Xenopus tropicalis: one gene and its partner. The protein of the gene in region 2 interacts with the protein of the main gene of each other region in a pairwise test. Links are inferred from orthologs where the notes say so. Each region holds a gene or a part of one and is shown on either strand. Other genes may lie near its edges.

Region 1 (4,332 bases), on a different chromosome or scaffold from region 2:
GAATGTGATAGGGACCTTAGATTGTAAGCTCACTGGGGCAGGGACTGATGGGAATGTGATAGGGACCTTAGATTGTAAGCTCACTGGGGCAGGGGCTGATGGGAATGGGATAGGGACCTTAGATTGTAAGCTCACTGGGGCAGGGACTGATGGGAATGTGATAGGGACCTTAGATTGTAAGCTCACTGGGGCAGGGACTGATGGGAATGTGATAGGGACCTTAGATTGTAAGCTCACTGGGGCAGGGACTGATGGGAATGTGATAGGGACCTTAGATTGTAAGCTCACTGGGGCAGGGACTGATGGGAATGTGATAGGGACCTTAGACTGTAAGCTCCACTTGGGCAGGGACTGATGGGAATGTGATAGGGACCTTAGACTGTAAGCTCCACTTGGGCAGGAGCTGATGGGAATAACATATAACTTCTGCAAAGCACTGATGAATATGTTAGAGTTATATAAATAAAGTAAATAGGCCTTTCTCTGTCTCATTTGAGGGGTAACAACATTTACTGCAGTGTTCTGAGATAACTAAGGGTAACAACACATAGGATTCTAAAAGCATGCAACATCTAACTGCCACCTACCTGCTACAGACCCTCAGTACTGCACACAGTGTCTTTTCATCAAAACTCAACAGATCCAAAGGAAGAGACGATCCCACCTGGAGTAGAACAAGGACACTACAGTTCATACAAATGTTCGACGGAAGCCATGTTTGCACTGTAAAACGTTCATGCTCCCTTTTGCCTTGTGCCTAACAGGGGGGTATAAGCATTTTACAGTGTAAACAATGAAGCCAGAATTGTGGGGACTCTTGGAAAAAAACATGGATGTGTGCACAGAGTTTGGCATAGGCTGGTGCCTATAAGTGGGTCTAAGGGTAAGTAATAGCACTGACATATTCTGCTGTACTGTACATAAGGGATCAGCCAAGTGTGAAGACTGCTACATCTTGCTCTATTGTTCTGTGTCTGATATATATATATATATATATATATATATAGATATATATAGTGCTTAGTTCCAGTTTAGTCTGTACTTGCCCTTAGAATTATATGGACAATACTGAGGTCGCAGGGTCTACTTCCACTGCCCGAGCCAAGTAAAGTAAATGCAGCTCCCAAAAACAGAGAAGAGGAAAGTACCAAACATATAAATAGGGCAGGTACACTTTAATTTAATCCCCAAATGCACAGCATTACTGCGTATGAAAAAGGAGAAGGACTACAAGTGAGGAAGTCGGGCACCTACCTCTCCGTGCAGGTTCTTCAGGGCAGAGACTACCAGTAGCTTGAATTGTGTGGCACTGAGCTGGGCCCCTTCTCCATTAAATTCACTGCAAGGTGCAAGGGGTATATTAGTAGGGTGGATGTGCTGTTATAGATAAAGTAGGTGGCATTAATTAAATATATATATATATATATTACTTACAGCTGAACCTTCATGTAATGGTGCTCGGACGGGTTCTTCAGCACTATTCGCTCATAGCTCGTGGGCCCGGCTAGTTTGGGTTGCTCTCTCATCCTCCCGTGCCTGTACATAAAGGAAAGTTGTGATTGGAGAAGCACAGTAAATCAAATAAAAGGAAATATACCCTTTATATTAACTGTTTATTTCCAGCACAGAACTGGAGCAATGACAACTCAATGCCAATGGTCACTTTCATTATATTTTTATCAGTGTTTTGATTTTTCCCGGCATTCTGCATTATTTACCTATCTGGCCTGGAATTTAAACTGGAACCCAGTTGCTATGGGCGCTGATAACTATCCAGTGTTTACACAGCACAGACCCATTTGCCAGTGTAGGCTGAGACATAATACCATGTCAGCGACCCTAGCACCCAAACAATAGTCAGACTACAGAGGGGCATTATACAAATGAAAGGGGACGTTCAACTTTAAATGAATCTGTATTACAGTGTAGACAGCAATATGGTAAGGCAAATCATTTTTACAGCATAAATGTTTTTAGTTTTTTTCTGTTGTGCAGCCTGAAACTTTAACAGCTGCCTGGCAGCTAGGACTTAATTCCCCTAGCAACCACGCATGGCTGGCTGAGATCACTGCATGTTATAAAACAAACTTCATTTGCAGGCAAACTCCCCAGTACACCCTCTTTTTTGTTAACACTGTTCCAATGCATACAGCTTGTATTAAACACACTTTTCCTCGTTAACATAATTAGGAAATAGTATAATTCTCTTTATCTAAAGTAAAGTCCCATTTGGTGACCTGTTTGTAGGAGCACAATTAAGACGAACCCCAAACCCACCAAAATGTGCCCTTTCTCTGCCCCTAAATTATAAAAAAGCAGCTCATTATATACACACACAAATACCCCTGAAGCCCCCAATACAATGTATGTATGTTCCCCTATGGCAGGGATCCCCAACCAGTGGCTCAGGGGTAACATGTTGCTCCCCAACCCCTTGGATGTTGCTCTCAGTGCCCCCAAACCAGGGAGTTATTTTTGAATTACTGACTTGGGGGCAAGTTTATATTCCATAAAAACCCAATTTAATGTCACAAAGAGCCTTCTGTAGGCTGCCAGTCCCCATAGGGGCTACCAAATAGCCAACCATAGCTCTTATTGGCACCCCCGGAACTTCTTTTATGCTTGTGTTGCTCCCCAACCCTTTTTCCATTTGAATGTGGCTCATGGGTATTAAAGGTTGGGGATCCCTGCCCTATGGGCTCAGTGCTGTTTCCTTCAGAAGATAAAGAGAAAACAATGATTGGGCAGTGATTGGAACCCAGGCATTTCCCACTCCTACTGGTACATACTCACATGGGATCCATGCACAGCTTAAGCTCCTCCCACTCCTCTCTACAGCCCGGCTTCCTGCTTAGCTGGTTACATGCTCCCTCTACTGGTGCCTCACTGGGACAAACCTCCCAAAATGGCACATTCCCATTACAGAAGCGCATGAAGCAGTGTTTCATATACCGATTTAGAACCCCTGAGGAATTGTACCAACGTGAGCCTTTCCATATTTTCAAATTTTGTTCCCTGTGGATTAAATACTAATTGTCTCAATAGCAGTTTTTTGGGGCCATAGCGTTACTGTACATGAAACACTGCTTGGTACGTTTCTGCACTGGGATTGTGCGTTGCTGAGAGGTTTGTCCCAGTCAGGCACCCGTAGAGGGAGCATGTGACCAGCTAAGCCGGAAGCTGGGCTGCAGAGAGGAGAGACAGACAAGGGGAAGGAGTGTGGTGCCCGGATCCCATGTGAGTTCTATTCCTCCCAACTGTCCTGTAACAGCTCAGGCCGCAGTCCCCATTGAAAAAGCCCTCATTTCCCTTTCCTCTCCTGCACTGAACCCCAAAAAAGATACAAAGTTTCTCAAACGTAATTATATAAGTAGCTTTTGGCAGAGCCCAGAATACTCACCCCCTGCACTGAGATACAACTGTAACTAATAAGCTAAACAGCTCTCTTGGGGGAACTGAGACTCACAGCTTAAAGGGCAAATTCACCTTCATTAGCAAAACTGTAATTACACATAAAACCCCCCAAACCCCCAGACATGTGTTCAAACTTTATATAATCTGCCAAATTTAGTCAAATGGGAATGATTATTATTATTATTATTATTATTAACATTTATTTATAAAGCGCCAACATATCCCGCAGCGCTGTACAATAGGTGGGTTTCATACATTGGACATACAGAGTAACATATAAAGCAATCAGTAACCGATACAGGAGGGGAAGAGAGTCCTGCCCAAAAGAGCTTACACTCTACAAGGAGTAACATATAAAGCAATCAGTAACCGATACAGGAGGGGAAGGGAACCCTGCCCAAAAGAGCTTACACTCTACAAGGAGTAACATATAAAGCAATCAATAACCGATACAAGAGGGGAAGGGAGCCCTGCCCAAAAGAGCTTACACTCTACAAGGAGTAACATATAAAGCAATCAGTAACCGATACAGGAGGGGAAGGGAGCCCTGCCCAAAAGAGCTTACACTCTACAAGGAGTAACATATAAAGCAATCAATAACCGATACAGGAGGGGAAGAGAGCCCTGCCCAAAAGAGCTTACACTCTACAAGGAGTAACATATAAAGCAATCAGTAACCGATACAGGAGGGGAAGGGAGCCCTGCCCAAAAGAGCTTACACTCTACAAGGAGTAACATATAAAGCAATCAGTAACCGATACAGGAGGGGAAGAGAGCCCTGCCCAAAAGAGCTTACACTCTACAAGGAGTAACATATAAAGCAATCAGTAACCGATACAAGAGGGGAAGAGAGCCCTGCCCAAAAGAGCTTACACTCTACAAGGAGTAACATATAAAGCAATCAGTAACCGATACAAG
Region 2 (3,650 bases):
TCCTGAATGCTCAGGACTTTTTTTTTTTTGAACACCAGTATGAGTTGGTGGAATATGCAATATATTAATGAAAAAACACATGTGTGCCCACAAGGAGCCCCAAGTAGATCCATCACAAAATACCAAACCTTACAGCATTAATAGGAGGCCTTCGGAAAAAGAAGGGAGCTTTTTCTGTTACGTTGATGCATATGAGGTCCACGTCAATACTAGTGCAAGCAGCCTGGCAGGATAAACACAAAGAATTGTAAAAAGTTTATCAATTACAAACAATACAATTCATTGCAGTTCTCCAGCTATTACATAAGTACGATTCCCTGCATTCTCATGCAGTCATAATGACAAGATACAAGTTCAACTAGCAGGCGAATTCATGTAACTCAGACTTATAAAGCTGGCTGTTGCCATAGAAACTTCAAGTGATATCATTTTGACCCAGGGTAGGCTAAATGAAGAGGTTTATTCCAAACATCAAGCTGGCATAGCTGTAATGGTCTTGATATCACGTTGCTTGAACCATCTCCAGCAATAATAATGAGTTGACGATATCAGGGCAGTACTAGCACATTGTTTGATGCCATGGAGACTGGTTTGGTTGCGAGACAGAAGCACCTGTTACAAACGATGCCTCCATAAAAAGGTAAAGAACACATTAAGGAAATTATGCTTTCAACAAATGGAATGGATCATTAAAGGGGAACTCCGGCTTCCAAATCAAAATTTTCTCAAGAGCCCCACACAACTTAGAAACCCCTAATATACCAATCACTGTATTCCGTTCCTTTAAAAAGTAAAAAATAAATACCATTTTTATGTGCTAAAATCCAGCTGCAAAACAGTTCTTCTCTTTCTGCATCGTTTGAAATCCTGGCAGGAGGAGGGACTAAAACTTTGATGTTACAAATTGTAACAACGTCTCCACTGCTTACAGACAGCATGCGGGAACTACATAACCCACAATGCATTGCACTGTGGTGTTCCTTTTTTTAATGACATTAGATGTGCAGGCAATTGTAAAATTTGGAGGATGCAGGCTGAAGGCAGGCTGAGGACAGTCGACTACTGTTACATTTAAATTAGTCAGCCAAATCAGGAAACAGGGGGGCAGGCTTAGGTAACTGTTTTAAACCTTATTATTACATTAAAAATAAGAAAAAGGCTGCATATTTATTTAAATAATGTATATTGCAAAGTTGCTTGAAATTATTTTTCTTTTCAAAAAGCTCAAGTTGTGTTTGGGTGCTTAAATAATTATGCCTCAATATGAAGTCTATATTTAGCCCTCAGCCCCAAAAAATGTCGTGCAAACAGAACAAGAAAAGCTGACCAAGAGAGATAAATGGCAGTGAGAGCTGAGATTTCCAGCAGCACCATGGGAGTTGCAATCTGACAACAGCTGCAGGTTAATGATCACTAGTGTATTACTGCGCCTGTGATCATCCCTCTGGAATCACAATGGTATCAATCTTCTCAAAATGTCCTACTTACATGAAACAGCTTCTCTGTCTTTGGGAAAACAGCCACAATATCATACAACCGGGTAGATGGTGAGGTTGATCTCTGTCAAACACAAAGCGCAATCACATGTAAATTAGCTAACAGAAATGGGGTTGAAGAGCTTTAAAATGAACATATTTAACTGTAATTACAAGTAATTAAAAGTATTACACAAGAATGTAGTTATAGTCTGTAGTTACAGAGTTGCTAATGAAGCCCCTGATGGACTTTATAAGGATCCTAGTAGTCACCAAGCAACGTGAACATTTATGCCTCTGTGTGAACAAGTCTGCCTTTGCACCAAATATGGGCTTTGCGAACACAGAAACGTTTTTGCAACCATTTCAGACAGTGGAAGAAAGTTTGTGAATATTATTATTTGCGACAATAAGTGCACAGTGTATATAATAAACCTTCTTACTGAAAAACTTGTTAAGTTAGCTCCAAAAGGTTATACCCCTTCAATATACCCCTTCAAGCATGTCTTAAAAGTTTGCAATGCAATAACAGTGTAATTAACAATATTACATTGCAAAATGCAAATTTTTATACTTATTTGTGTGAACTTTTGCTGTTTAAGACTTTTATTACATTCCCCTATTTAAGTGTAGTCACTGATGTAGAAACACAAACCTATGTTGTTGGATAAAGGTTTATAAAGTTTTAGAGTAAGGGTAGCCAGTGGTCACTAGAATAAATGGGTGAATAGAACCCTTGACTTTTTGGGAAGGCCACATAGGACCAGGCCTAGGGTAGCTAAAGCTATTAGTGGTGGAAAGATTCAACCAGCTGTTAAATTGCGCCAGCTGCCGGCCACAAAAGAAGCAAAGAAAATGGGTTGCGCCGATAGAACCTTAAAGCTAATTGAAGAGGGGGATGAAATTGAAGTTGCATGGGACTGGAACTCACAGGAAGTGGCACAGCAGTCACATTCATTAATGCTAACAAAAAACAACATATACTTTTCTGGGGCCTTTAGTTTCCTTTTAACTTTAAGTGCATAGAACAAACCTTAAGCTATTTGCACATGGTGCAAGAATCAGCCGATCGACTGGCCTCTGCTGGCTCTTGTGACTGCACCAAGAGGCAATGCAATGGCCTGGAGCATACAAATGAAACAGATTTCATCACAGAAACAAGAGAATATACATTATCATACCGAAATATGCTCTGTGTGTCTGCACCCAGGCCTCTCAGTGCAGTCACAGGAGCCAGCAGAGGCCATTAGATCAGCTGATTCTCGGCTTGCAATTATACTCAGCCAGTTATAAGCCAACAAGAAAAGACAAATAAAAATGTATTTTAGTTTGCCTCACATAGCAGTAATTGATTTTTTATGTATAGTATTTAGGCTAATTAATGATAATATTTAGAAATGTGTTTATTTAGTGAAACGGTTACTATCTATGCCAGTTTCTACATGGGGCATTTTGTTCACATTATTATTTCAATGGCCTCCACTGTGATATAAAATAAATGGCAATCATTCCAGTGTAACTCTACTAAACAGGTGCACAGGAGTTCTTACATAACAAGTTTAAACTCAAAAGCAAATGCATACCCTAATGTATAACGTCCCTAATAACATAACAATATGAAATAACATACATAAACTTTAAATCTAAGGCTAAGTTGCCCATGATAATTCTTCGATACTATGGACGACTAATCTGCAAATGTTTTCCTCAGATTTATCTCAGGCTTCTCTTATGTATCTTTCTATATGTATAGCTCAACCTGCGCTCAAGTAAACACATACATTAAGAAAACAAGCAACCTACCAGCACATTGCAGTGAGAGGGGTCTGATGCAATAATTGTTAGTCTGGTGAGGATTTTGATGGGTATGGATTTTCCCTGCAGAGATCAAAAGGAATTTTAATTTACTGAAATACATTATTTAAAAAAAAACAAAAAAACACTATCATTTATTTTCCATGTTGCTTGAACTTTTTAAGTACTACAAAATTCTATAAACATTCCTACTAGCAAAAAATCCACCAGGCTGTATGTTCAATAAGCTAAAGAAGAAATATCACGTGCACACCCAGGCCTCAGTACTGTATGCTTGGTGCTCCGTATTTTGGGAGATTGCACTCCTTTTGAAGTATCATGCAAAAATGGCTATTGGCACACAAAGACCCTTGGATTGGC

The links. The genes of interacting proteins can lie anywhere in the genome.
Region 1: the proteins of rpp30 (region 2) and rpp14 interact in binary tests that used the Homo sapiens proteins (3 or more experiments, as listed by UniProt). The link is inferred for Xenopus tropicalis from reciprocal best matches to the Homo sapiens genes RPP30 and RPP14.

The regions. Positions count from the first base shown.
Region 1 is NC_030680.2:148,464,512-148,468,843, reverse strand, and holds the start of rpp14 (ribonuclease P protein subunit p14), read right to left. Parts: upstream 2,881-4,332; 5' UTR 2,794-2,880; intron 1,537-2,793; 5' UTR 1,527-1,536; coding exon 1,435-1,526; intron 1,340-1,434; coding exon 1,255-1,339; intron 665-1,254; coding exon 588-664; intron 1-587. Other genes in the region: protein SCO2 homolog, mitochondrial, read left to right, coding at 3,236-3,237. UniProt on the Homo sapiens protein: Component of ribonuclease P, a ribonucleoprotein complex that generates mature tRNA molecules by cleaving their 5'-ends.
Region 2 is NC_030683.2:36,827,760-36,831,409, reverse strand, and holds part of rpp30 (ribonuclease P protein subunit p30), read right to left. Parts: intron 3,354-3,650; coding exon 3,279-3,353; intron 1,561-3,278; coding exon 1,489-1,560; intron 224-1,488; coding exon 134-223; intron 1-133. UniProt on the Homo sapiens protein: Component of ribonuclease P, a ribonucleoprotein complex that generates mature tRNA molecules by cleaving their 5'-ends. Also a component of the MRP ribonuclease complex, which cleaves pre-rRNA sequences.